Stegostoma tigrinum: one gene and its partners. The protein of the gene in region 2 binds, or shares a complex with, the protein of the main gene of each other region. Links are inferred from orthologs where the notes say so. Each region holds a gene or a part of one and is shown on either strand. Other genes may lie near its edges.

What was found.
Region 1: med12 (region 2) and med24 share a complex: the UniProt entries of both Homo sapiens proteins name them as parts of the mediator complex. The link is inferred for Stegostoma tigrinum from reciprocal best matches to the Homo sapiens genes MED12 and MED24.
Region 3: the proteins of med12 (region 2) and cdk8 are in contact, whole or in part, in a cryo-EM structure (PDB 8TQ2), measured with the Homo sapiens proteins. The link is inferred for Stegostoma tigrinum from reciprocal best matches to the Homo sapiens genes MED12 and CDK8. Residues at the interface, in NP_005111.2 of Homo sapiens: Pro26, Gln27, Gln31, Glu33, Asp34, Leu36, Asn40, Val41, Lys42, Gln43, Gly44, Phe45, Asn47; in NP_001251.1 of Homo sapiens: His143, Ala144, Trp146, Phe180, Asn181, Ser182, Pro183, Pro186, Ala208, Arg209, His210, Thr212, Lys213, Met273, Pro274, Pro320.
Region 4: med12 (region 2) and mediator of RNA polymerase II transcription subunit 13-like share a complex: the UniProt entries of both Homo sapiens proteins name them as parts of the mediator complex. The link is inferred for Stegostoma tigrinum from reciprocal best matches to the Homo sapiens genes MED12 and MED13L.

Annotation. Positions count from the first base shown.
Region 1 is NC_081384.1:10,521,544-10,529,057, forward strand, and holds the start of med24 (mediator of RNA polymerase II transcription subunit 24), read right to left. Parts: upstream 3,012-7,514; 5' UTR 2,917-3,011; intron 482-2,916; 5' UTR 476-481; coding exon 346-475; intron 1-345. UniProt on the Homo sapiens protein: Component of the Mediator complex, a coactivator involved in the regulated transcription of nearly all RNA polymerase II-dependent genes.
Region 2 is NC_081368.1:38,216,646-38,223,678, reverse strand, and holds the start of med12 (mediator of RNA polymerase II transcription subunit 12), read left to right. Parts: upstream 1-4,011; 5' UTR 4,012-4,034; coding exon 4,035-4,133; intron 4,134-7,033. UniProt on the Homo sapiens protein: Component of the Mediator complex, a coactivator involved in the regulated transcription of nearly all RNA polymerase II-dependent genes.
Region 3 is NC_081359.1:77,361,827-77,368,985, forward strand, and holds the start of cdk8 (cyclin-dependent kinase 8), read left to right. Parts: upstream 1-4,136; 5' UTR 4,137-4,356; coding exon 4,357-4,484; intron 4,485-7,159.
Region 4 is NC_081379.1:33,662,095-33,668,981, reverse strand, and holds the start of mediator of RNA polymerase II transcription subunit 13-like, read left to right. Parts: upstream 1-3,880; 5' UTR 3,881-4,395; coding exon 4,396-4,464; intron 4,465-5,721; coding exon 5,722-5,959; intron 5,960-6,887. UniProt on the Homo sapiens protein: Component of the Mediator complex, a coactivator involved in the regulated transcription of nearly all RNA polymerase II-dependent genes.

The DNA of each region.
Region 1 (7,514 bases), on a different chromosome or scaffold from region 2:
AGGATTTACACCAGCAACATTAATTGTATGTTCTCTCCACATACACCACTTGCCCAGGTGTGTTTCCAGCATATTCTGCTTTTTGCTAGAAAGGCAGATGGAACTTTTTTTCAAATATTTTGCCTTAGGGGTTTAGCTCTGGATATCTGATCAGTACTTTATTCATTTCAGCAGACAGATTAAACTGTTAACAGGTTAACAAAACAGTGGAATGAGCTATTTCCTATATCTGTTTTAAAGTGATACAAGACTCACTCATGGCATAGCTTTTGCTTTTCCGTTTTAAACAACCAATTAATTATCTCTAAGGCTCAGAGACAAATGTCAAGCCATTGAGTATCTCACCTGAAAGCCCGAGGAGATCCCACGTGGGACCTTTTGGGAAAAGCTTTTTCATGTTTATGGCCCATTGATAGTCTGTCCATCGCTCCTTCCAGGCCTGAAGAATGGCCTGCCTCAGGTTCACCACCTTCATCTGTCACTGCCAGGATAGGCAAAAGAACGGCAAAAATAATCAAATTCACCATGCCCGCCCTGCTAATATCATTAGGCATTACGGCAATGCCGTCAGGACAATCAAGGTGTCACAGACCCACAAAAATTTGTCAAGGCACTAAGCAATACCATGGCTTTGTGTAAATACAGCTACACAATGATTTGATCAGAATAAAAAACAATTCTGACTGCTAAAACTTTAGCAATGCAGATGTCAAATTCAGTAAAACTCATTTGTGGATGGCTAAAATGTTCATTTCAAATGAATGTGGAATAACACCAAGCAGTATTTAGAAATGCTTTGCTTCCAAATTTTGGTCTACCCCACAGAATTCCTTGAGGTGCGAAATATGCACAGTACTACTAACTGCAGAAACAAACTGAATCTATAACAATTTACAACAAAAAAGATTCCATTTGGCGCATTGCTCACTTCAGCAGTCAGTATTATGCTCAATGATCTATTCCTTCCTTTTGGTCCAGATCATCCTCCATTTAAAATTGTCAGTGATTCCGCTCTTTAAAAATGCAACTCCACTGCATTTATAGTAAAACACTTCTTGCTCCAGCTATTTTCCTTGAAGCCCACCTCTTTGGCCACGCCATTCTTCGCTCCTTTGTTCTCTCCTTCTGTGGCTCATCATCTATTTTCCCCATTAAGTTTCTGAAAGAAGCCTCGGGACTTTCTTCAGGTTCAAGGTGGTATCTACAGGCAACTTATTGGTACAGTTAACTAATGGAAAATTTGGTGTGAAAATGTACATGCCGACCCTGTAAATAACTGCTGCAAAACTGCTGCATGTATTGCAAAATTATCATTAGATTGCTGTGATAGTTTATGATTAGGTCTAGCATATGTGCCATTTGTGAGTAAATGGCAAGCTGTGAATTGAGTGCCAGATCCCTTAAGTGATAATAGGTTTGAGATGAAAGGTTCTTCCCAGTTAGATTTGATAAAAAGATGTCTGCATCTAAACTGGTGATCAATAATTAATCATGCACAAGTTAGAGTTCTTGCTTGATCTGGTGTCTATATACACTTAGATCATTTCATACAGGGTACCAGTTTATGGTGAGTTTGAACGGAGGTTACAGTCAATCGTGAGTTGACGTTTGATCTGAATATCAGTCGACATTGACTTCATGTTTGATCTGAATAGCAATCTATAGAGAGTTTATATTTGATCCGGTGGTAACAGTCTATAGTGGACTCACGTTTGATCTAGGGAGTCAGTCTATAGTGACTTCATGTTTGATCTGAATATCAGTCTATAGTGAGTTCACGTTTGATCTGAATATCAATCTATAGTGAATTCAAGATACCAAAGTGTAGAGCTGGACGAACACAGCAGGCCAAGCAGCATCTTAGAAGCACAACATTTGATTTGAATAACAGTCTATAGTGAGTTTATGTTTGATCTGGGCAATCAGCCTATAGTGAGTTCACGTTTGATCCGAATATCAGTCAAGAGTGAATTTATGTTTGATCGGAGGAGTCAAACTATTCTGATTTCATGTTTGATCTGGGGTGTCAGTCTATACTGAGTTCATGGTTGATCCTGAAGAAAGGTAATACTCAAAATGTTGACTGCTCCTTTCCTCCAGATGGTGCCTGGCTTGCTGAGTTCTTCCAGCCTCCTGTTTGTCTACCTTGGATTTCAGCATCTGCAGTTTTTGCGTCTCTATATTGAGTTCGTGCTGATCTGGGGAGTCACTCTATAGTCAGTTCGTGTTCGATCTAGGGAGTCAGTCTATAGTCAGTTCATATTTGATCTAAATATTAATCGAGGATGAGTTCACATTTGATCTAGGTTAACATTCTATATTGAGTTCATGTTTGATCTGGGGATTTGGTCAATAGTGAGTTGATTGGGACTCACTTGGGAGTTTACGTTTGATTGGGGGAGTCAATCTATTCTGAATTCTGAATTCATGTTTGATCTGGGGAGTCAGTCTATATTGAGTCCATGTTTGATCGTGAAGAAGGATAATACTCAAAACGTTCATTGTCATTATCACAGAATCCCTACAGTGTGGGAACAGGCTCTTCGCCCCAACAAGTCATCACTGGCCCTCAGAGCCTTCCCCTAACCTACACATACCTGAACACTACAGGGCAATCCAGCAAGCCTACACATCTGCTCTTTTCCTCTAGATGCTACCTGGCTTGCTGCGTTCTTCCAGCCTCCTGTTTGTCTACCTTGGATTTCAATATCTGCAGGTTTTTTTTCTCTATACTGAGTTCATTTTTGATCTTGGGAGTTAGTCTATAGTGAGTTCATTTTTGATATGGGGTCCTCCATTAACTACACAGTGTATTGCTAGTTTATGATTAACTAGAGGAGGAGCCAAGCTGCAAGATTGAGCCTCGATCCAAAAAGAAAGCAACTAGAATCAAACAATAAATGAAAGGTGTTTTACCTGAAATATTTCTGACTAAATCCCAAACTCAGCGCCGCTCGAAACGACTAACCCCTCAAGCAAAACACTCCGCCATGTTGCCCACTAACACCTACCCACCAACAATGCCGGCGGCAATTGGCAGAACTTGATTCCGGCCGAGCCAATGGAGTCAATGAGGTGGTGTCGGGCGTCGTACCTCCTGGGAGTTGTAGTTCAGAACCACCGAGGAGCTGCGGGAGAAGGGAGGGGCGAAAACTACAACTTCCAGAGTGCCCCGCGAGCAGCGCCCTGTCACCTGCTTTGGAAGCGCAGAGATGGTAAGTCAGGCTGTTTCTGCTGCTGAAAATCCATAAGATTTAGATTTAAGATAATATACGAACATTTATCTGTATATTTGAGTGTGTACACATATGAATGTGAATGGTATAAGTTTACCCATGAAATGCCGCTGTCTTGAAATTATATGATTTGTTTGGCAACCTATTAATGCTGGTTGGAATCCAAAGGTTATGCCTCATTCCTCCTTGAGCACTTGCATCTCTCCTGGGGCTGCTGTGTCTTTCTGACTCATTGGATTATAGTTTTTATACAGTTGCAGCATTGCAATCCTAATGCAGATTGTCCTGCCGCCTCCTCCCTAGGCTGCGGGTTGGCTGCGGTGACAGATGTTCTATCGATTCGGTCGAGCGGTACGTTTCCCGTAAAATGGGGTCAGCTTACTTTTTGGGATGGGAGCGTATATAATATTTCATTTAAACCCAATGAGTCGCGATTGCTCCCCCATCCCTGTCCCAGAAAGGTGATTACTCCCTTTATATGTGATAAATTTCGTTTACGAGAGAAATTTACAAGAGAGTTTTTAATACCATGAATTAAAGCCATGATTTATTCCTTCTCCATTCGACATTCAGAACTATTTATATGAACTCAATAACATGGGCTTCTTGCACGATATGTTGATTTATTTTCTTCCTAGCAACAGTAAAATGTATTTTTTTAACATTATTTTTTAAAAATCGAGTTAGTTATTTCCTATTTGTTTTTCAGTTTTCTGCCTTTTTCCCCCCCTCTTCTCAACCTCAATTTTTTAAAGTACAGCTTTCCACTTCCTCTTAAGATAGCAATATTTCACTAGGGACAGATTTTTGCCAGCCAATTCAGTTCTCACTTCAGCCTGTGCATTCTTCAAGAGTCGAGGGAAAGAAGCTCCCAGCCTTGTAACACTGAAGTTAATTGTCAGTGCAATTACCTATAGCCATGTATTTTTAAAACAATCTTCATTCATTGGATGTGGACATCATTGGCAAGGCTTGCATTCATTTTCCATCTGTAAATGCCATTGAATTGCATGGCTTGCTAGGGATATTTTATGACCTTGTTGAGACGGTCTTTTAATTCCAGATTTTTAAAATAAATTTGAATTTAACGTCCACCTGCTGCTATAGTGGGATTTCAGCCTTGATCCCCGAAGACTGAGTTCAGTCTCTGCATTACTAGCCCTGTGGCATTACCACTAAACCACTGCCTCTCCTGCACGAGTAGGTGTTTTTATCCAGGTTCCGGCATCAGGCAAGGCAGAAGTTTCTGCCAAGGTGATGCCAATTCCTACTTTTGTGTAATGATTTGCATTGTCTTTTGCAATGCCTTTTGGTTGAGATGTTAATTTGAGGCTGCCTCAAATGGTAATAAACTATTTGTCTGTGGTCAAGATAACAAAAGAAAGCAGATGATCAGGGTATGAACATGTCATTTCTTTAAATTTATTTTTATGGGATGTAGGCATCGCAGGCCAGGTCAGCATTTAGTGCCTATCCCTAGTTACCCTTGAGTAGGTCGTGGTGAGCTGCCTTTTTGAACTGCTGCAGATCATCTGCTGTAGGTTGACCCACAATACTGTTAGGGAGGGAATTCCAAGATTTAAGCCAGCATCAGTGAAGGAACAACGATATATTTCCATGTCTGGATGGTGAGTGGCTTGGAGCGGAAACTGCAGGTGGCGGTTTTCCCATGTATCTGCTGCCCTTGTCCTTCTAGATGGAAGTGACCATGGGTTAGGAAGGTGCTGTCTGAATTTCTGCAGTGCATCTTGTAGATAGCACACACTACTGCTACTGAGGATGAAGGGAGTGGATATTTGTGGATGTGGTGTCAATCAAGTGGGCTACATTGTCTTGGAGAGTTTGAAGTTTCTTGAATGTTGTTGGAGCTGCACACATCAAGGCATGTTGGGAGTAGTCAATCACTCCTGAAGTGTGCCTTGTAGATGGTGGACAGGCTTTGGGGAGTCAAAAGACGAGTTACTTGTCTCAGTACCCCTAACACCTGATCTACTTTTGTAGCCGCTGTGTTTATGTGGAAAGTCCAGTTACGTTTCTGGTCAATGTTAACACCCAGTTCTTGTGGAATCTTGCTGTGCAAATATTGCCTGTCAGATTTCCTACTTTGTAACAGATGCTGCATTTCAAAAGTAATCCATTGACTCTTCTTAATGCCAGTATTTATTTTCTGCCCTTGTTTTCAAAATAGTCTGTCATAGCACCAATTATGAAATAGTCACTACCGTTTCTAAGGTGGGTTGGGAGGGTGGAGGCAAACGCAATAGCTTGAAACCAGAAAAGTTACAGCAAACAGCCATGCAGACTGTCAGGAATAATGTGAGTAAGCAAGAGAAAATGAAAATGCAAGAATTAGACAGCAGGACATTCAGTATCTGGAAAGGAGGTTATGATATTGGGTGTGAGCTTTCACCACAGTAAGTACTAGGCGAATTCAGTTGGGTTATTTTCAACACATCTTATTGGAATGAGCTTACAGTAAAACACAACTGTTTGAATTTGCCACAAAATTAGTAATCACCTGAATTGTTGATTTGGTAATAGAATTTGAAGTAGCACACTGGCACAAAGGAGATTTGATCAAGATGTTCAGTGTCATGAGAGATCTAGGCAGAGAAGATGAGGAGAAACTCTTCCACTTAAGAAATTGAGAACAAGCGGGAACTGATTTTAAAGTATTGATTAAAAGAAGCAACAACATGAGAAATTTCATTTTACAAGGAGCACATGGCCTGGTCTGCAGTCTCAAACTGAAACTGGTGGAGGCAAGGCTCACTTTAAAGCATTCAAAAGGAACTTAGACTGCTTCCAGAAAAGAAAGAAAGGGAGAAGTCAGGAGTACAATGATCTGCTCATTCGGAGGTGCAAACATGAAAGGCTGATTGGTCTCCCTCTGTGTTGTAACAGTTCTGTCGTTTTGCTGTAGTTTCTGCTGGAACATGAGGCTGTACCTGACCTGGAAGCACTTGGCAATGATACACCAGGATGGAAAAGTTTTCCCGTTTCTCCGCATTTAAATCCCTTACCTGATCAGCCCTAAATAACCTCCAGATATGATCAAAAAACTTTCACTTTTATAGTGTCTTTAACATAATGAAATGTCCCAAGAAGCTTCATGGGAACATCACAATGCAAAGTATGTCACCAAGCCACATAAGGCGATGTTAGATCTGAATGGTAGGTTTTAAGAAGCGCCTTGAAGGAGGAGAATGAGAGGTGTAGTAGGAAAGCTATTCAGAGCATGGAGCTTTGGTGTTTGAACATATGCCACTAATTGTGATTAACATCATGAGATTTTCCCAGAACTGGGGAAAGTGCAGGTATTTTAGAGAGTTATGGGAATATTGTGCATATTGAATCCCTCAAGATCCATTGCAAAATCTAAACCTTCCAGAGTGGTGTGTTTCTTAGTGATTGTGCATTGCAAAAATTGCACTGGAGTGTGTAAAACCCATATGCTCTTTGAGAAGCCAGCTCCCTATCCTGTCCTGCAACATGTAATTGTCAAAGTATTCCGAGTCTGCCTTCAATTGTTCCCAAGCAATCCTCAATATTCTGAGTTACAAGAAGTGCTCACATGGGAGTCACCCCCAAATCTTCACTTTCCATCCTTCTTTAGAATTAGAATGGCCTTTATTGTCATGTGCAGTGAAAAGTTTGTAATATTGCCTCTGGTGCCACCTTAGGTACAAGGTTCCTTGGAACAGATACTTTAAGTATTGTCACAGAATTGAAATAGTAAAAAAAAGACTAGCATGGGAATACAACGTTTAAAAGTCCAGAATGACAATAAGAAGTTTATTTAAAGTACTCGAGTTATAGTCTTTTTCCACTGAGTCTGTGCCTGCCGGGCTTCAGAACATGGGGCCAGGCTACCTCCCCGCACCGGCCTCTGTCCAGGTCTTCCCTCCAGGACTCGTCCCCGTGGCCGGCTCTCACTCACTTTGCTCCCACTGCAGCCTCTGGCTGCACCTCCTCTCCCGTGTCTCAGACTTGCCTCCTTTTTTCAGGTAGTTTAAGCAGTTGAAAGTTGGGGGAAGGGGAAGTAAAATAAAAAAAGAGAAAGAAAAAGAAACTGGTGAGCAGAGGAGCTCACTTGGAGCATCTTACATGGCCAGTCTCTATCTTGCTCCAAATAAAAGCTTGATTTGGCTGCTGCAGCTTTAATTGTAGTTGAGTGCAGTTGGGGAAAATGAACTTGCTGCATGTATTGGTGAGGACTGGTTGGAGGTTTCCAGAATTTGAATTGTAATGAAACATTAATATCCCCCAGCTATACCA
Region 2 (7,033 bases):
CGGCAGGGCTCAGTGTGGCTGTCTTCTCTGGGGTTGCTGGCTGTGGAGGTTGTGGGCGGAGCGATGAAGTCGTCGGCTGTGGGCGGGGTTCCGTCGGCCGTGGGCGGGGTTCCGTCGGCGTCGGCTGTGGGCGGGGTTTCGCCGGCGTCGGCCGTGGGCGGGGTTCCGTCGGCGGTTGGAGGATCGGGGTGGGTGGCAGCAGCTGCGGTGAGGGTGGTGTGTGGCGTGTTGTACCTGGACGTGGAGGTGGTGACTGCAGCAGCGGTTCCGGAAGTTCTGTGGCCGGCGGAGGCGGATGTGACGTCATCGGTGGGGTCTCCGGCCGTGTCCTCATGGTCAATGGCGGCGGGTGCATGGTGGGGGAGGGGCAGGGACAGAGTCGGGATTTGGGAGGCGCAGGAATCCTCTTGTGGGTGGCAGGGGCCAGTGAGTTGGTTGTACTTACGATTTTTGGTGTCCAGTAAAGCTGAGTGGAACTGGGTGTTCAGTCTGTGGATCTTGCGGAGGATAAAAAACAGCAGGGGTCCTTTGCAGGTCTGGGAGAGGGAGGCGCTGAGCTGGGGCAGGCTGGATTGCAGTGTGTGGAGGTGCCGGCGCATGGCTGCAAGTGTCTGTTTCAGGACTCGCAGGGAGAACCGCTTCTGAAGGGTCTGAATATTCTGGGTGTAGAGGTGGTCATGGTTGGGGCCAAATTGGGAAGGCTGAAATGTGGACTGTAGTCCCTTGGGGATGATCTGGTTCCGTAGGCAGGTGCTGAGGAAGGTGATGTGGCTGTGGTACCTGGTTTGCTTCAGGACATGGTCGAGCAGTTTCAAGGCCGAAGAGATTACAAGAGAGTTGCAATGGGAGAGAGATTCTCTGAGGTTGGTCCGGAGGGAGGAGGGTAACTTCTTCAGGTTAGGCATCCCTGGAAGAGGCTTCGCAGTGAGGTTAAAATAGTATCAGAGATAATGGGAACTGCAGATGCTGGAGAATTCCAAGATAATAAAATGTGAGGCTGGATGAACACAGCAGGCCAAGCAGCATCTCAGGAGCACAAAAGCTGACGTTTCGGGCCTAGACCCTTCATCAGAGAGGGGGATGGGGAGAGGGAACTGGAATAAATAGGGAGAGAGGGGGAGGCGGACCGAAGATGGAGAGTAAAGAAGATAGGTGGAGAGAGTGTAGGTGGGGAGGTAGGGGGGGGATAGGTCAGTCCAGGGAAGACGGACAGGTCAAGGAGGTGGGATGAGGTTAGTAGGTAGCTGAGGGTGCGGCTTGGGGTGGGAGGAAGGGATGGGTGAGAGGAAGAACCGGTTAGGGAGGCAGAGACAGGTTGGACTGGTTTTGGGATGCAGTGGGTGGGGGGGAAGAGCTGGGCTGGTTGTGTGGTGCAGTGGGGGGAGGGGACGAACTGGGCTGGTTTAGGGATGCAGTAGGGGAAGGGGAGATTTTGAAACTGGTGAAGTCCACATTGATACCATATGGCTGCAGGGTTCCCAGGCGGAATATGAGTTGCTGTTCCTGCAACCTTCGGGTGGCATCATTGTGGCAGTGCAGGAGGCCCATGATGGACATGTCATCTGGAGAATGGGAGGGGAAGTGGAAATGGTTTGCGACTGGGAGGTGCAGTTGTTTGTTGCGAACTGAGCGGAGGTGTTCTGCAAAGCGGTCCCCCAGCCTCCGCTTGGTTTCCCCAATGTAGAGGAAGCCGCACCGGGTACAGTGGATGCAGTATACCACATTGGCAGATGTGCAGGTGAACCTCTGCTTAATGTGGAATGTCATCTTGGGGCCTGGGATGGGGGTGAGGGAGGAGGTGTGGGGACAAGTGTAGCATTTCCTGCGGTTGCAAGGGAAGGTGCCGGGTGTGGTGGGGTTGGAGGGCAGTGTGGAGCAAACAAGGGAGTCACGGAGAGAGTGGTCTCTCCGGAAAGCAGACAGGGGAGGGGATGGAAAAATGTCTTGGGTGGTGGGGTCGGATTGTAAATGGCGGAAGTGTCGGAGGATAATGCGTTGTATCCAGAGGTTGGTGGGGTGGTGTGTGAGAACGAGGGGGATCCTCTTGGGGCGGTTGTGGCGGGGGCAGGGTGTGAGGGATGTGTTGTGGGAAATACGGGAGACGCGGTCAAGGGCGTTCTCGATCACTGTGGGGGGAAAGTTGCAGTCCTTAAAGAACTTGGACATCTGGGATGTGCGGGAGTGGAATGTCTTATCGTGGGAGCAGATGCGGCGGAGGCGGAGGAATTGGGAATAGGGGATGGAATTTTTGCAGGAGGGTGGGTGGGAGGAGGTGTATTCTAGGTAGCTGTGGGAGTCGGTGGGCTTGAAATGGACATCAGTTACAAGCTGGTTGCCTGAGATGGAGACTGAGAGGTCCAGGAAGGTGAGGGATGTGCTGGAGATGGCCCAGGTGAACTGAAGGTTGGGGTGGAAGGTGTTGGTGAAGTGGATGAACTGTTCGAGCTCCTCTGGGGAGCAAGAGGCGGCGCCGATACAGTCATCAATGTACCGGAGGAAGAGGTGGGGTTTGGGGCCTGTGTAGGTGCGGAAGAGGGACTGTTCCACATAACCTACAAAGAGGCAGGCATAGCTGGGGCCCATGCGGGTGCCCATGGCCACCCCCTTAGTCTGGAGTCAGTCTGATTTTATTTCTAAAAGTAGGAATTTATTAAAAGCCACATTGACAGACTGTCTATAAATTGTGTGCTTTTTGAACAAAATAGAATGTATATGCAAATGCAAATTCACCTCACAAATTTATATGTGAGTGTGTATGTGTATATGTATATGTTTGTGTTGGTGAGGGAGAGAGAGAGAGAGAAAGTGTGTGTGCGTGTGTGCGTGTGTGTGTGTGTGTCCAAAAGCACACAATTTATAGACAGTCAGTCAATGTGTCATTTTATAAATTCTTATGTTAGAAATAAAACCAGTCTGACTTCGAACCAAAACATGAACAAATTCTAAACACCTAACATGTATTGTCTGACCTAAAATGTCACCTCTTCTTTACACCGATAATATCTTTAGTTCTCGCAGGGAAGTGACTCGAAAGAAGTTTGGAGATTCACACATACATATTAATAAATTAAAACCTTCTAACTGATTAAAGATTTAACAGCATCTTATTGAATTGAATTGAAATGTTAAATAAAAACCGAAAGAACTGTGGATGTTATAAATCAGGAACAAAAACAAGGTTGCCTGAAAAGCTCAGCAAATCTGGCAGCATCTGTGATGTCAAAAACAGAGTTAATGTTTCGGGTCCAGTGATCCTTCCTCAGAACCTCAGAAGAGTCACCGGACCCAAAACGTTAACTCTGTTTTTTCCTTCACAGATGCTACCAGACCTTCTGAGCTTTATCAGCAACTTTGAATTGAAACATTTATTGTCACGTGTATTCAATGTAAAAATACACTGAAAAGTGTGTACCTTGGCCATACATACATGGCGCCATTCACATTAATTTTTGAATAAGAAAAAAAAAATAATTTGAGAGGCTTAACTTTCCTTGCAGGTTTAATACATCCTGATCAGTTGTGTGACTTTTTGATCTTTTATTTATAAATTCTGTGTGTGCGCGTGCGTGCGTGTACTTCTTTCTCACTTCGCCTGATGAAGGGGCCTGTGTCCCCAAAGCTTAGGTTTTCAAATAAACTTGTTGGACTATAACCTTGTGGCGCATGATTTCTGACTTTGTCTACCCCAGTCCAACACCAGCACCTCCACATCATAGTTTATTTCAGCCATTAGAAAAATAGTTATCTGGAATGTTGCCCCTGGTTATAGTAGGGAATTTATGTGGTCCAGGCCAAAATACTACATTTATCATCATTTGTCCTTTTAACCAAAATGCCTCTTCGGCTACGACAATCTCCACTAGCGCTTGGAGTCGGTAAATTCCGGTAGCGCCCGGAGTCGACAATGTTCGTCAGCACTCGGAATCGACAAATTCCGGTAGCGCCCGGAATCGGCAATGTTCGTCAGCACTCGGAATCGACAAATTCCGGTAGCGCTCGGAGCCACTCGTTGGGGCAAGCCGGCTTTCCCAAAGATGGCGGCGTTCGGAATATTGAGTTATGAGCACAGGCCGTTGAAAAGGCCTCGGCTCGGGCCGCCAGACGTTTATCCGCAGGACCCCAAGCAGAAAGAGGTAGGAAAAATCGTCGAGAATCCAGGGGAGGACGGCCAGTCACTCAGTAAGGCAGCCGGGCCGGCGGGGTGAGTAAGCCGGCGCGGGGAGCCGGGCCTAGAGCAGCGTCCATGTAAACAATAAACAGTCCGTATGTATGGGTGGACTTGGGCCTAGAGTAGCCTTGCAGACAGCAGCAATAAGCTGCTCTTGTACTGTCGGTCCCTAACCGTGGGTTGGTCACCCTGTCTCTGTGAGATAGAGTTTGGGCTGGAGCACAGCTCAGCCATTTTAACAGTTAACTACTGGACCGACCTATCAATAACACCTGGTTAATATGGAAATTCGTCATAGATGGTACAAATCTTCACTGTCTCTATCTGGGAGAAACCCAGAAGCAATCAACTTCCACAGTGTTTGCGATTGATCTTGAAGCTGATATATTTTTACTCTTAAAATAATCGGGAAATTTTGAGGATCTGTTGTGCTTCCACACTCAAATTACGCCACACTATATCATCAAGTACTTTTTCTTTTCAGTTAATGTACTAGACCTCAAACCTCAAAATGAGAAGCTATTTAAGATCACTGAACCACATTTTCAGCTGCACAACATACACCGTTACTGTCATTTAGATTCTTTTTGGCTGCCCGCTGAACTCCATGTCCTCCTTAATTAATTTTGAGACCCGTCCTTTCAAGTAACTCTTGGGCCTTGCCTGATTAAAGCTTTGCAATATTTTTTGGCCAAAAAGTCCCATTTAGAATTAATAATAATAATTTCTGGTAGTACTTATAAAGTTGGGCAGAGTTAATTTTTCAGAGTGAGATGACTTGTCCTGAAACATCAGTTCAGTTTCTCTCTCTAGATACTACCTGATCACAGTATTTCCAACACTTTTGTTTTCATTTTTGATTTCCATCATTCAATATTTTGCTTTTTTCTTCCCCTCATGTACGACTTTGATTTCCTTGAATCTGTTAGAATCTTGAGAATTTTTTGGAACTGTTTTTAAGAAAGGATGGTGGAAATAAAGTGCTTGAATATTTTTAAGACTGAGGTGGATAGAACCTTATTAAGCAAGGGTTGAAAGATTGCCTGGCGGGAATGCGGATTTGAGGTTGCAATCCGATCAGCCATGGTCTTATTGAATGCTGAAGTAGACATGAGGGGCTGAATGGCCTGCTCTTGCACATTGTGGTGTGGGAATAAAAGGGCAATTATCATCATGTTTCTTACCCTCTTCATTGTGGATTCTTTCTGGGTACTGATCTTTTAAAAACAAAAGACGTGGTACAATTTCATTGGTACCTGTGATCCTCTAGTACTTTGCCCAAGTGTCTGTTGTTCATGTAAGCTTAGTGTCTACTGACAGGTTCGTTAACGAGCAAGATTGTGCTTGCGGGAGGTGAGGGGGGATGGGGAGTTCTAGGCTTTGGGACAGGGGTTGGGGAGTGTGGGTGCTCTGCTAGTGAGGAAAGATATTGGCTCAAAACTGAGGTGATACTGCTTTCAATCATGCTGTTGTAACCTCCAGCTGTTATTTGTCCAACATTGTCTTTATCAGTTCTTTGATCTTCACCAGATAAAACTCTGACTTACTTGAAACTTCAGTGTTTGCAAGCTATTTCAGATTAAGTCGACTCACCAACTACTTATGTTTCTATCAACCTTTGTTGGTTTCTTGTTCACCAATACACTGATTTCATTATCTATTCTATGATTACAAATACTACCACTGATTCATACCGGCCTAGCTCTAGTCTTACATTCATTATGATCTTCTATGTTTGCAGTTCTGTTTTGCTGTGCATCTCCACCCCACCATTCGTACTGAACATTTGAGCTGGCATTTATTAATGTTTAGGAGGAAGGATGTGAACGAACTGCTGCCAAGTTTGTAGACTACACAAGAATAGGTGGAAATGCAGGTTGTGAGAGGGATGCAAACAGTTTATAAAGAGATATTGATAGGTTAAGTAAGTGGGTGAAGTTGGCACATGGAGTATCATGTGGGAAAATGTGAAGTTGTTCATTTTGGAAGGGAGAACAAAAGAACAGAATAATTTAAAGGAGAAAAATTGCTGAAAGCTGCAAGGCAAAGGGATTTGGGGTACTTCTACATGAAACTAACATGCAGGTGCAGCAGGTAATTAGGAAGGTCAATAGAATATTAGCCCTTAATGTAGAGGGGTTGAAGTACAAGGGTAGGGAATTCTAACTGCAGCTGAATGAAGGCTGAATGGTTGGGACTCTACTCACCAGAGTTCAGAAAAATGAGTGGTGATCTCATTGAAACATAAAGGGATTGACAGTATAAATGCTGAGAAGATGTTTCTCATCATGGGAGAGTCTGAGATCAGAGGGCATAGCCCAGAATAAAAAGATGCCAGTTTGAGATGAGGAGGAATTTCTTTTCTCAAAGGGCTTAGTGTCTTTGGAACTCCTTGACCCAGAGAGCTGTGGAGAAAGTGTCCCTTGTGTATAGTTAAGGCTGAGATAGATAGATAGGTTGATGGGGAAATCAAGGGCTACGGGAAAAATGCAGGAAAGTGGACATGAGGAATGTCAGAGATAATGAAATGTGAGGCTGGATGAACACAGCAGGCCCAGCAGCATCTCAGGAGCACAAAAGCTGACGTTTCGGGCCTAGACCCTTCATCAGAGAGGGGGATGGGGTGAGGGTTCTGGAATAAATAGGGAGAGAGGGGGAGGCAGACTGAAGATGGAGAGAAAAGAAGATAGGTGGAGAGGAGAGTATAGGTGGGGAGGTAGGGAGGGGATAGGTCAGTCCAGGGAAGACAGATAAGTCAATGAGGTGGGATGAGGTTAGTAGGTAGGAGAAGGAGGTGCGGAGTCCATTGGGGATGATCCGGTTCCATAGGCAGGTGCTGAGGAAGGTGATGTGGCTGTGGTACCT
Region 3 (7,159 bases), on a different chromosome or scaffold from region 2:
TGTAGACCAAGCCGCTTATTTCACTTCACACTGTACCATGCTGATAAAGAGGTTTACCTCAGCTGTTTTACTAGGAATCACTCAATGACTTCAAAACATTGTCATCCCAAACATGGAACCTCAAATTACAGTCCTTATTATTTAAAATAATTAGGCAACATTTTAACCGTTCTACTTGTGGCTAGCATCCAGCATCCAAAGCTGTCCAGTTTAATGAGTTCTTGAACAAAGAATCATTACTGGGCTGAAGTTCATTGTGACTCATACAATTTCTTCTGCCTGGTCAACATTACCACCTTCTCCTTCCAAATGTTTCGTGTTATCTGTGGTTTAAAAAAAAATCCATTTATGATAATTCATTGCAGAATGGCATTTGAAAATCACATTTCAACACTGTAGATCATTCCCAGGTATTCCTGGTGTTCATTCTTATGTCATGGTTCCTCGTTCTTGTCATATATTTAATTGTCAAATAGATTTGTATCCTTACTTCTCTTAGTTATGATTTCTCTTTTATATAGACATTTAGTCTCTGTGCAGTCTTGGTCAATTAAGAGTGAGCAATTTGGAATGGACAATAAATGCTGGCCAAGTGAATGATGGGTAGATCCAGTGAAGGAATAAAAATAAATATTATTCAATTTGGGCATCAAATTGCAGCAATAAAGTTAGCAGATGCTTTTGAGACTTTTTAGGGCTGAACGACAAGAACAGAGCATACTTTCACTATATTAATGTTAGCCAAGGTCTCAGAATAAATATTGCAAAACATGTAGCAGAACAGTCTATTATACTGCGACATCTATTGTTCATTGATCAAATTATACTCATATATTGGTGGCCAGGCTAAAGTATTCTATTTTCTTTATTCATTCACGGGATGAGGGCATCGCTGTCTAGGCAGCATTTATTACCCAGCCCTAATTGCCCAGAAGGCATTTACGAGTCAACCACATTGCTGTGGGTCTGGAGTCACATGTAGGCCAGACCAGGTGAGGATGGCAGTTTCTTTCCCTAAAGGACATGAGTGAACCAGATGGGTTTTTCAACAATCAAGAATGGATTCGTGGTCATCATTCAGTTCTTAATTCCAGATTCACGAATAATAGAGATGGTGGGACTGTCTGTTAGCCAATCAGTTGCTTTTGATCGCTTAATTTTATGTCAATTGCTATTGTTGAAGGTTTGATAGGAACCCAAAAATGCGATTATTTAAATTTGCTTCTCCCCATCACCATGAAAAAGAAGAATCCACACTTTGTATATTATTTTGGTAGACTGAATTTCTTGTTCTATAGAACTGCCATCTTGTCTGTCATGAAAATAAAACTTAAGCACCTTTGGTCTGGCTAGGGTGGAAGATGGGCAAATCAGAGATCCTTCTCATGGATGTGGAATAAAGAGTTAATTACACACTGGCTGAAGAATAGCTACTTAGCAGAATTGAAAGCGCAAAACCATAATGATGCCTGATCACATGGAACAGGAGCCTGGGTCCATAGGATTCCAGATGGCCCCAATTCTTGTAAATTGTTACACTTAATAAAGCCTGTTCATGTTCACTCACAAGAGTGTATACAACAACTAGTCTGCTCCTGTGTGTGGCCAATGCGATGATCCAGTGTTATGATTCCAGCTTACAATAATGCTAGAGAAATCAGTTCCCAGAGTGAAGCCTGGCTTGAAAAACCTTATATTTACTATTTTCTTTTTGTTTCACATGGCGGTCAGTCACATGAATTTATTTATGAGGGTCCGCCCAATGGACTTCAAACAACATTTACTGCACAGAATAAAAATAAATAGGAACTATTAGAATGTTGTAATTACAGACATCAGAAAGAAAGATTCATCCTTTTTATCCTGCCAGTACTCTTACAGGCACTTAAATCTCAGTGAAGAATCACTCCAATCTCCACATTAAAGCTTCTTGCTCAGTTGGCATAAGTTCTAATCGTTTTTTTTGGTAAATTTCTGCACATTCATGAAATTTTTCAGTTTCTGTTAGTTTCCACCTTTTTTTCCTATTAATGTTTTTTCTGAGATCCTTAAAAAAGTCTGCTAATTCAGCACACGGTTACTTAACATGGGTTGATTAAACTCATGTGTTGAAATAGGCTTTTAGGATGTTTTCTTCTCTGACACTTCCATAGCTTTATGCTCTGGAGCTAAGTACCTCAGGACTTCTCCCCAACCCCAACTGCTGGGAAACTGTAAACAACAGCATCAATGCTATTACAGGCCTTTTCCTCCTGTACAAAAACACTTATGGCTCCTTTCTCGGTTGGCCATAAAACTCAAAACAACTTTGTAGAATTCTGGTCATTTAGCTGAAATCGCATGGCCTTTTTGTAAATAATGTTTTGAACTGCACAAGTCAGATTTTCATTTAATATCTAATGTTCATTTCCCCTCACTTCAGACTCCAAGTTCTCAAATAACATATTACATTTTCCCTCATAACAAATGGATACTACCTCCCTCTCTCTCTGTGGCTTTCTCCACATGTGGATTATCTTGGGGAAAGACTTTTGCTCATGCGGTCAAGCTGTTGTGTGACCAGTGGGCATCTAGGGGGTGCAGGTCCACAGGAGCGATACAGCTCAAAATCTTGTCATTTAAGTTAAATTTCCTTTGACTTTTTAAAAATAAAGTCAGAGTATTAACAGCAAGGAAAGAGACCCTTTGACCTATCATGTCCACCTGGTCATCAAATATCCATCTACCGTAATTCCATTTTCCAGCACTTGGCCCACAGTCATATACTATGGCATTTCAAGTGCTCATTAAAATAGTTCTTTAATACTTGATAATTCCTTCCTTTTCCACACTTTCAGGCAGGATGTCCCAGATATCCATCACTCTACGGATGAAACAAAAGCTTTCTTCAAATCTCCTAAAAAGCTCTTGCTCCAAACTTTAAATCTCTGCCCTTTGGTTATCGTCACATCTACTAAGGGGAACTATTTCTCCCTATCTACTCTATCTCTGCCCTTGGAATCTTGTATATCTTAAACATATCTGCTCTCAGCCTTCCTTGTTCCAAGGAAAACAACTCCAGACTGTCTAGTTTTTCTTCACAGTTGAATCACTCCAGCCAAGAAACATCCTGATGAATCTACTCTACATCTTCTCTAATAATCACACTTTTCCTATGGTGTTGCAACCAGAACTCCACACAGTACTCCAGCTGTGGCCTAACTAACATAATGTACAGCTCCATCACAATCTCCTTCCTCTTGTATTCAACACCCTGACCAATGAAGGTACGTAACCTACACACATTCTTAACCACCTTTATTTACCTGTCCTGCTGCTTTCAAGGGTATATGGACAAGCATACCAAAGTTCCTGGTTGTCTACTTGCTAGGATCTACCATTGAATATGTATTCCCTTCTCTTGTTAGTCTTCCCAAAATGCAACACTTCATACTCTTTAAGATTAAATTCCTTTGCCACTGTTCAGCTGATGTGACCAGCCCAACCATATTATCCTGTAGTCTAAGGTTTTCCTTCCAAGTATTTTCACCACCAATTTTCAGGTCATCTGCAAACTTACTGATTCTACCTTCTACTGTACATTCAAGGCTAGATCATTATGGTGCACAACCAACGCCAAGGAACCCAGCACCTAATGGACACATGCTTCCAGTCAAAAGACTTCGCCCCTCACAGCGCTGCTGGCCACGAAGTTCGTTTTGAATCTAAAACAAAAACAAAATTGCTGGAGAGGCTCAGCAGGTCTGGCAGCATGTGTGAAGGAAAAAACGGAGTTAACGTTTCGGGTCTGGTGACCTTCCTCATAACGGATCCAATTCATTTTGGATCTAATTTGTCACATTCACGTGGATCCCACGGGCATATTTTTGGTTTCATTCGACGCGAATGTGGCTCAGCATTTATTTATGTGCCATGAAATCTGAAGTAACCAAATGCCTATTGGAATTACTTCGGCATATTATCATGTTCCTAACATCCCGGGGACGCTAGACAATCCATTCCGAACATGCTCGTACACAGGACCTTGCATCACACTTCACGCGTGCGAGCACCCATGCACGAGATATGCTAGGCAACGGCATACAATGAGTGGCGGCGTGCATTTTCTTCACGACAATTTACGGCAATGCCGTAGGTGGGATTGATGTGTGATACCGGCGTTGTGTAGAGGTAGCGAGCGGTGAGGGGGTGATCGCAGCGACGGCTCGTGCAACCATCCCACGTCAACAGGCCAACCAGCGGCTTATATGGTGCCTCCGAGTGTCACCCAGCGATATCGTGAACCCGCAAGAGAGGCGGTCGGCTTCAGTTAGACAATACAACTATTAAAACAAAATAGATTGGAAAGCTTCGAAAATGGACTATGATTTCAAGATGAAGCTGACGACAGAGAGGGAACGAGTGGAGGACCTGTTTGAATATGAAGGCTGTAAAGTTGGAAGAGGCACTTATGGTCATGTATACAAAGCCAAACGGAAAGACGGGTAGGTAAAGGTTTCAAGAGCATGTAGGCCACGCTGGTCATTCTTGATGCAGGTTCTTGCTTGGATTTTAATTGGCGAAGGAGCGAAGCTGAGTTCTTTCTGCCAATAACTTTGTCGTGCGCAACCTGTTTTTGAAGTAAAGTATGTTGCTTGTCTGGTGCAGCTTTTCGAGTCTTTGCGGTTAAATACGTGCAAAAGCACTTGAGTGAAACCAACTTTACTGTATTTTTATAGAGTAATATTTGATTATTGCCTTTGTTAGGGATGGTGTCAAGTAAACCATTTGGTCGTGAAACCTTTGAACTTGTATGCATCCTTCATAATTACTATTTCTCATTTCAATTAACTTTTAAACTAATGAGTCTGGATAGAGCTGGAAATATTAATGGACCTACTTTAAATTGTTTTCTTGATTATTGTTGGATTGACATCTTCATTGAATTGTTTGCGACCTTTAAAATACATTCGTGGCAAAGTTACACATGGTGATATATTTCATAAGTTTATTGATATTCAAATGATATGTAATGACGAGTACTTTAAAAAGCTCTTCCAAATCTTAAGTAATGCATGTAAATGCCACACTCTTTCCCTTCCCCCCCCCCCCCCCCCCAGCAGGATTTCCAGTGGCATTTAGATTGGTTTCAAATGCTAACTCTGAAATTAATTCTGACCTTGGCATTTACCTGTTGGAGGTTTTTTTTTTAAAACGAGCTGTTGTTTATAAGAGTGGGAATAGAATTCATGTTGTAGAATTTGACTTTACACAAAATGTGAGTTTTATTTTTGTAATTTTTTTGGGGTGATGTTGCTGTGTTTGACAAACACTAGTTAGGGTCAGTAGCTGCTTTTAGTTTTCATTCCTCCTGTGGATGATTTTCTTTGTCAGCACTAACGATTGCACCCTCCTGGTTTGTTATGACTGTCTTACAGTTGTGGAGAAGAATAAGGCAAGATTTGGACATTCACATAGATTTATAGTTGGAGTCATTATCATACCATTAAGGAAGAAAAACTCAGCTGATTTTAGCCTTTCTATTTGGGATATTGGTATACTGTTGCACCTCGTAGTACAGTAAAGATATGCAAATTCAACATAGAATGAGGGTTGACCTGAGACCTTCTCACCTCCCCAGTTGAGAAATACACCACAGATGCACTTATCGTAGTGAGGGAGCTTCAGAATCTTTTTTAAACATTTAAAATAAATTCTCACTGTACCTGGAATAACCCTACTTTTTTCTGTAATTACAGCTATTATTGTGACAAAATTGAAATCAGTCAAATTGATAAGTTATCTTCTTTCCTCATTGCTTTAATGTAAGTGGGAATCAACATTGTGGATTATTCATTTTTAGAATAGAAAAGCAAAATTTTTTAAAAAAGCATGAAACATACAAGTGTACATGTTCAGAGGTACTGGGTATACTCGTACAAAGAATACAGAATTTTAGCTTGCAGGAACAGCAAACGTTTAGGAAGGCAGATGGCATGTTGTTCTTTATGGCAAGGAGTTTGAGAATAAAAATGAGGAAGTCTTATTCCACTTGTATGTGGTTTTGGTGAAACCACACCTAGAACATAGTGAATTGATGTCTGTATTGTGTTGGAGGCAGAATTGTAAGGGTTCATTAGATTGGTCTCTACAATGAGAGATTGTCCTATGATGTGAGGCTGAGTAAATTGGACCTACATACTTTGGAGTTGAGGCAAATGAAAGATGATCGCTTTGAAATGTACAAAGCTCTTGTTGTTAAGAACTGAGGTGAGAAGAAGTTTCTTGTGACTCTTAAAATTTTCCACTCAAAATGTGCAACCTGCAAGGTTGAATATGTTTTATGGCTGAGATGGACAGACTGTATGCCTCAGAAATGAGGGATATAGGAGTTAGTCAGCAGGAAAATGGAGTTGAAACCCCAGGTTAGCTGTGAATAGCCGGGTAAGCTCTAGTCTATTCCATCTGTATCTTTTGCTGTTATAAGCTGCAATGAAAGAAAAATAAGATGCATTCAACAAGATCTGCTTTAACTCTTACACCATGAATGTCTTTAAGATTGTGCACCTATATTTTGAAGTTAGAGCATTGTTTGTAATCTAAAATAATTTAATCTTGGCAAACGGTAGCTGGGTAACAAATAATTCTGGTATATCCGTCTAATTTCTTTATGATCCTATTTGCTAAACCCTCCTAAACATTTGAAAACAATTTCGTGCCATCCTGCAATGTCAGTTTTCAGCATTTTGATCTTTTATAGTTTATGAAAAGACAGCTCATTTAATTTTTCCTAATCTTCAAGCCAACGCCAAATGTTTCACAGTCTGCAGTTGTCCTTGCTTGTGGATAAGGTCATAAGGTTAAGAATATATTGTTTGTTATGTGAGATGTTTACAGATTTACATACTGTTGCTTTAAAGCCCGTTTGTTTCTGGTGAAACAATTTCACGTGATCAGACAGTTGTGGGTTCAAGCACCATTCCAGAACTTGGGTATGCAATCTAGACTGTCTCTCAGTGCATGATTGAGGGAGTTATTCAAGATGCAATTTCAAATGGTGAATTAAACTGATACTCAAATGCCTGCTTAAGTGGCCATTTAAAAATTTCATAACCCTTGTTTTTGGAAAAAGAAATTGTTAAAGTGTCTTAATTTTGTACCCAGTCATTATAGTGCCATG
Region 4 (6,887 bases), on a different chromosome or scaffold from region 2:
CATTTTAAGAACAGTGCAACAGGGGACCCCCATGACAATACAACTTAAAATATCATTGGAAAAGCAGCACATTTTTATTTCTAATAAATATTTACAATTAACAACAAAGAATTCATTCAACGAAGCATCCAGCTATCAGTTCAATGATTTTAAAGCAATCACTGAATGTTACAATCCTTTGAGTATAGTCTTTTTCAATTTTCATTATGCATAACATTTGTTTTCTAGAATATAGCATTGAAAACTTGTTTGAATTTTGTATCCTAGATATTATAATAGTACTGTATATAGTGGATCATATAAATTCTTTCCTGATTGAATGGAATATGTTTTAAAAAACTCAATATTTTTTATCATCCTGAAAATGTAATGAACTTCTCAAATTATTAAACTAGCACTATTTTCATCCAATGACACTGATAAAGTGCTGGACATTAATAAAACCAGCATTTTCAAAATTAAAGCATTTTTTTGGACAAGGGCATCAGTCGGAATGTAAAACAGAAATACTAATAAAGCAGTTTTAAGTATACTGCAAACCATGTACCTAAAGAAGGTAATTTTTAAAGTAATTTAAAAAATAGGTTTCTTTTACCCTGAGGTTAGGTAGACGTTATACAAATACAGTTTTGTACTTTACAGATCATCTATTTGCTTATGCTTATATTTTATTGATTGAAATTAATCAACAGCAATTACTATCACTGCATGCTGGATAATTAACCCCAGGGGTTTCATAGCTGAAATAAAAATTTTCATTGTGCGGAGCAAAAATCACCAAAAGCTCTAATGAAGAACATAATTTGAATCCAACTGAATGAAAACTTTAAGTAAAGACACCACATTTCATTTAAAATTTGATCTTAAAACATTTATGATGTATTACCACACTAAAAGAATAGGCAAAAAAATATAGTTTTAATATTGTGCATTTATTGTCAGGTGGCCCATCTTCTAGATTAATCATCAAATAGCAACAGCATCAGTAACAATTGAAGCATTATGCCATGACTGATTACTTGTTTTATTATAGCTGTAGTTGAAAATATTTCTGGATGAATGATCACAAATCCATTTTGAAAGAACTAGAGTATGTTGTTACAGATGTTTTTACTTAGTCTTATCAATATGTGTCACTTTAGAAAACATCAGTACGCCATCATGCTTCTGTTTAAAATAGAACCTGAAGGAAAATACACAATCTAAAAATTGAAATAACATTTTACATAAATATATTTCAATGCATTGTTGATTCTTTTCATCCCATAACAAAATATGATACTAAGATCCAGTGGAGTTCTAAGTATAAAATCATGCTCTTTCATATTCATTTTAGCTGTGAATAATAATAGTAGCTAGTTTTTATAAGATATGGTTTAGGATTTTTAATGTAGTGAAATATGATTGAGTGGTGAAAATATTCCCAACTCTGATATTAATATGCCTGTAGGTATGTGATGGCCTCAATGTAGAAATAGATAGTTAATTTTCCATCAAGAGGCTGCTTCAAACTGAAATATCATCATACAGCATGTATGGCTAAGTATTTTAAATAATAACCTCTGTACAGTTCATATATATGATCACTGAGGTGTTCAGCCTACAACTATTCTTGTGTGAAATATGGTTGATATGTTTTTTTACAGGGTGTGAAGATATCTCAATTCATTGACATATCCAATTAAATGCACTCAATAGAAACAGACAAGTCGCTGAGTGATGTAATATTTACAAGCTACAAAATTTCAAAGATATCAAATTTAATGAATGCAGAAAAAGTACCATGAGAAAATAAGAACAATGTGCACTACAGGTCACTGATATGTGGTTAGTCATAACCATTGGGTTGTTTTTCTAACTATTCCTTATTTGTGGAATTTGTTCCAATATTAAATCTAGACGCATCACTAAAGACATACAAAGTTGAAAGCTTTCTTGTACCATATACTTAATTCTTTCCAAGAATACAGTTGCAACAATCACATCGTCTTCACTGCTCATTGCAAAATCACTTTCGGAAGAATATAAGTATGTACGTATTTCTATAATGTTATCATCTATGTTGGTTCAATGACTGACAGCAACCTAAATGTAAAATATATAGGTCAGCAACAAACTACACTTTTGACATTGAGCTACACTGTGAAACCTGAATATTATCATAAATTGTGGGCAATTCTTTACCTTTTGTAATTATGAATTCCTCATTTTCTATTCATTTTTAAGCTCATTTTTATCCCTCTCCCCATGCATTGCATCATTCCCTGCCGAAAAATCGGTCAGTCTGTCTTCTACCAGGCATCTGCCAACGTCGCTGCATAACTGCCTGCTCAAAGGTGTAAAAAAGTAGCTTGGACTGATTCGCCCTTTGATGTTGCTTTCCTCTTTGAGGGAAACTGTCTATCTTGTGTTTTCTATTCACTTACGGCACAGCGGAGATTTTGCACTTGCCATACAGGAAATACATTTAGAAGGGAAAATGCAGAGGTTCTCCTGGTTTAAAAATTGAAATAAATATTTACATTTTAAAAGTTCCAATTTTAAAGCATAACTATCTTGCGTCCAATATAAACCATTATTGCATGAAACATTACCTGAATTGTTATTGACTCACTTTAGGAATCAAATATTTGGAAAGAGCATTGTTTGAAATAAAATATTCAAGACAGCTGTTATCTAAATAAAAGATTATTACTATAAGCCATTTCAATTGTGTTATTGGGATTACATTGATTGGAATAAACGCAAAGGACGGTACTTCGACAGTTCTTTCCCACAGTCAAATATCAGGGAGTGTCGTCAATTAATACATCGAATTCTGAAGATAACCCCTCCATCCCATTTCACTGTCAAAATTGACTTCTACTGACATATTTGGCTGTATTCCAGTCTCCTCATTCTGTTATTTTCCAAAGTAATATCTGCGATCCTGGATATTATTACTGACATTCCATTTCCACAAATTGGGATACAAATTTATTAAGTACTTTATACAATGGATTTAATGTTATAAAGTAGATGTGAAATTCTGAAAGTTCCAGAATACCTCAGCAATCTTCTGGAATTGTTTAACTGTGAAACAGACGCCCTCACTCAATGAATAAATAAAAAGAGAACATGTATTGGGTTAAAAGGGGAAGGACCGACTTCAATGGGAGACTTCCAATCAATTCATGAGAACTGCAACAGTATAAACAAAGTAACAACACGCTGAAACACTATTTTGGGCTTTGATGAAATTGTGAAGGCATCATTTAAAAAAAAATCTGATTATGCAATGCATTGATGCAATTTCATTAAACTAAGGATTTAAGGAATTGGGGTTAGGTGTTCACCTGCTGACAAAGTTAGAGCCAGTGCACAGTTTCCACCGGCCACACAGGCCTGGTCAACTCTCCTGCCGGCGAAGGCGCTCACGAGCGCCACCAGTGGGTGGGCAACACTACAGCAACAACCTCGTCCCCCGTTTCCCTCCCATACCACCTTCCCAACCCGCGCACTGTCTCACCTCAACACCCCCAGGTCTCCCCACACCCCGCCACACTCACACCCCTTGCGCAGGCGCGGAAAGCGAGCCGGGGTGTTTTTGTGCATGTGAGAGACAGAGAGAGAGAAGAGCCGGTGGGGGCGGGGAAATGACACTTCGGTCCGGCAGCTCGTGCCCGTCGAGGCCACGCCCCCTCCTCCCTGCCCCAGCTCCGCCATTCGACGGTGGGATGGGGAGGAGCGAGCGGAGTGCGAGGAGCCTAGGCTTGAGTGTGCTGCGCGGGGAGGGGGAGGGCGCGCGTCGTCCATGTGACGCGGGCGCAGCCAATCCTTGGCGGGGGAAAGACGCCCGCCTCAGCGCTGTCGCCATTACGCTGATTGCCTATCTCTGTCTCTCTCCGTGTGTGTGTGTTATGTATGTATGTATGTATGTATGTGTGTGTGAGTGTGAGTGAGTGAGTGGGAGAGAGGGAGGAGGGAGGGGAGCCAGAAAGAGAGAGCGAGAAGAGCAGCAAGCAGCCTTCAGTGGATCACTGGCGGCGGCAACAGCAGTAGCAGCGAGTGATTTCCCCCCTTCTAACTTGGGAGGCGGACGACGACGTGAAAGGACAACACACACCGAAATTATCTATCTCTATATCATCATCAAAGCTTGGGGGAGCCTCCTGAATTAAAGCGGCGGACGTCACTCCTTCCATCGCTCTGGAGAGATTTTTAGTTATCGTTTTTAAAACATATTTATTCGTTATTTTTCCCACCCCCTCCTCTGGGCGGAGGAGGTTTTTTTCTGGTGAGGGGAGGTGATTGTTTCATCCCTCCCGGTTCTATCGAGATATTATTTTTCTTTGCAAGGGGAAAGCAAGACGGAATCTTTAATTCGACCTCCGGAGAGAAAGTCATGCACGGAGCATGACTGCAGCAAACTGGGTGGCCAACGGTGCTAGCTTGGAGGACTGCCATTCGAATTTATTCTCTCTGGTGAGTGTGAGAGAGACTGGAGAGAAAGAGAGAGGGGCCTTAGGCTGTGTGGGAGCAGCCATTTTCTGCTAATGGTTTAGCATAACCGTTTACATGGCCTTATTTTCCTGTCTGGAGTTTATTCCCTAACGCCCCCCCCAACTTATTTTTGAATATGTCCCACCTCTTCTCCCCCCCCCACCCCTCCCAAAAGCCTATACTACGTATTGCATATTATTGTTGTCTCTCAACGGAGCTGGAAGCTTTTAATCCACCATCTTGAACTGGAAAAATGTCTGCATATTTCAAGCCGAATTAAAGCATGTCTTTTTTTATTGGGGATGGGGGGTGAAGAGGTGGAGTTGAACGTAATCGCTACATGGCATCTGATACTGTTTGCCGTTTACATGTCATTTATTTGGCAATTTGTCTTATTACCACCGCTGTCCTCGGATTTTCCGGTGCCCGTTTTTTTAATGCTCCCGTGTGCAGTAATAAATCATGTCTCTTGTCTGAAGTTTTAATGTTATGTACTCTTTCTGCATTGGCAATGTAGTTGAAATTTTTCTCTCCGTGAATCTTCTTTGACTGCATCGTTCAATCCACAGTTTATTTTAATCTTGTCTTCATAATATTCAAAATATTTTAAACGTTCATGGTGCATTTCAGTTGACGCTTGGACATAACCTACAGTAAGGAAATATAAATTTTGCGGAAAGGCGTTCTGCTCTCGTGTGTTTATATTTTGTGAAATTACGCATCTTTAAAAATAGTATAAGATTGTTGAGTGCTTCATTCATATACAAGTACTCGTAGAAACACTTACTTTCACATTATGAAAATAATGTATTTCACATCTTTCCAGTGGAAGTTCTGCTATACTATTGAGGTACGTTTTGATCAATCAAGAGTTAATGAATCAATTTCCTCATTTGTATGTTATTGTTTTCCAAAAAAAAACTTCGGATACTGCAAAACAAAACAGCAGTTGCAAGAAAAACTCATGTCTGGTAACATTTTGGAGAAAAAGCAGAGTTAAAGTTTGGGTCCTGAAATGTTAACTCTGCTTTCTGTTGACAGATGCTGCCAAACGTGCTGAGATTTTTCCAGCAACTTCTGTTTTTGTCCATATTTTGTTTTGCAATCAGTGTAACAATTTAAGTATGTCTGTCTAAGTTCAAAATATCATCCTCACCATATCCAATAGATTTAGGTTTAATTGGTCCTTCTTAATTTTTTTTCTATCGAATTGTTTTTGATATGTTTCTCAACCAACAGGCTGAACTAACTGGCATCAAATGGCGTAGGTACAGTTTCCAAGGGCTAGAGGGCTGTGGTCCCATCATCTCAGCTCCAGCTCAGGATGATCCTATTCTGCAGACATTTATTCGATGCCTACAGGCCAATCTACTATGTGTATGGAGACGAGATGTGAGGCCTGAAGCCAAGGAGTTGTGGATTTACTGGTGGGGAGAGGAGCCGAATTTAGTTGATATAATTCATCATGAATTACGAGGTGAGTTCCATCTTTATCATATAAAATGGCTATACTTTTGGAATTTCCAAGATTGATTACTGTTGCTTTGGGATGCATAGGCTAAAAAATTAAAGAAGGATGTGTAATAGATCAAATCTTTAAGTGGACTTTATTCCCTTGCAAAGCCATCTCAATTGCTTAGTTGATTATTTCCAGGCTGTCTTTAAAAATGCTTTTTTATGACTGTTAATTTCAGATAGGCTCCTTTGCAAATATAAAATGTTTTACAGTAATGTTAAATTACAAGTTCCTCCTGGGATTTTCACCATAATTCATCAAACTGTTAGGGACTTTGAATGACATACCTTCCCTAGTAACTATGAAATCAAAATTTACATTGTTTGTGGTTTTGACATCTTGTGTAAGGGTGTGTGTATTGTAGTGTGCCTGTGTATAATGAAAATATTTTGTGTTATTTGTAAAAAAAAAGTAGAAATATTGAGTACTTGCTCGTGTAAATTTGTGTTGATCTCCAGTGTTTGGAATATTTTGGATACCTGCAGTTCAGGTAATGATGCATTGATTTAGCAGTGGCAGTGATTGGTCGTTTACAGCTTTTGGTCTCTGGAAAGATCCAGAGGGGCCAACTGCATGGTAATTTGACTCTGTCAGCAGGATAGCTGTATACTATTCACAAGAAAATTCTTAGGATTCTTAACTGTTAGTTCACATTCTCCTTTATGTTTTGAAATACTACAGTTTACTTGTTTCACATACATAATTTGCTATTACTACAGGAAATTATTTTGTGCTGTTTTGCAAGCCAGAAATAGCTGATGCTTTGCTTAATTTCTGTGAAAGAGTGAATGCTGATTTGCATATTTAAACAAATAGGTATCAAGTAAAATATGAATATGGTCTGCTTTGTGGAAATTTTTTGCATAGTGAATTTAGCAACCTGAAAACA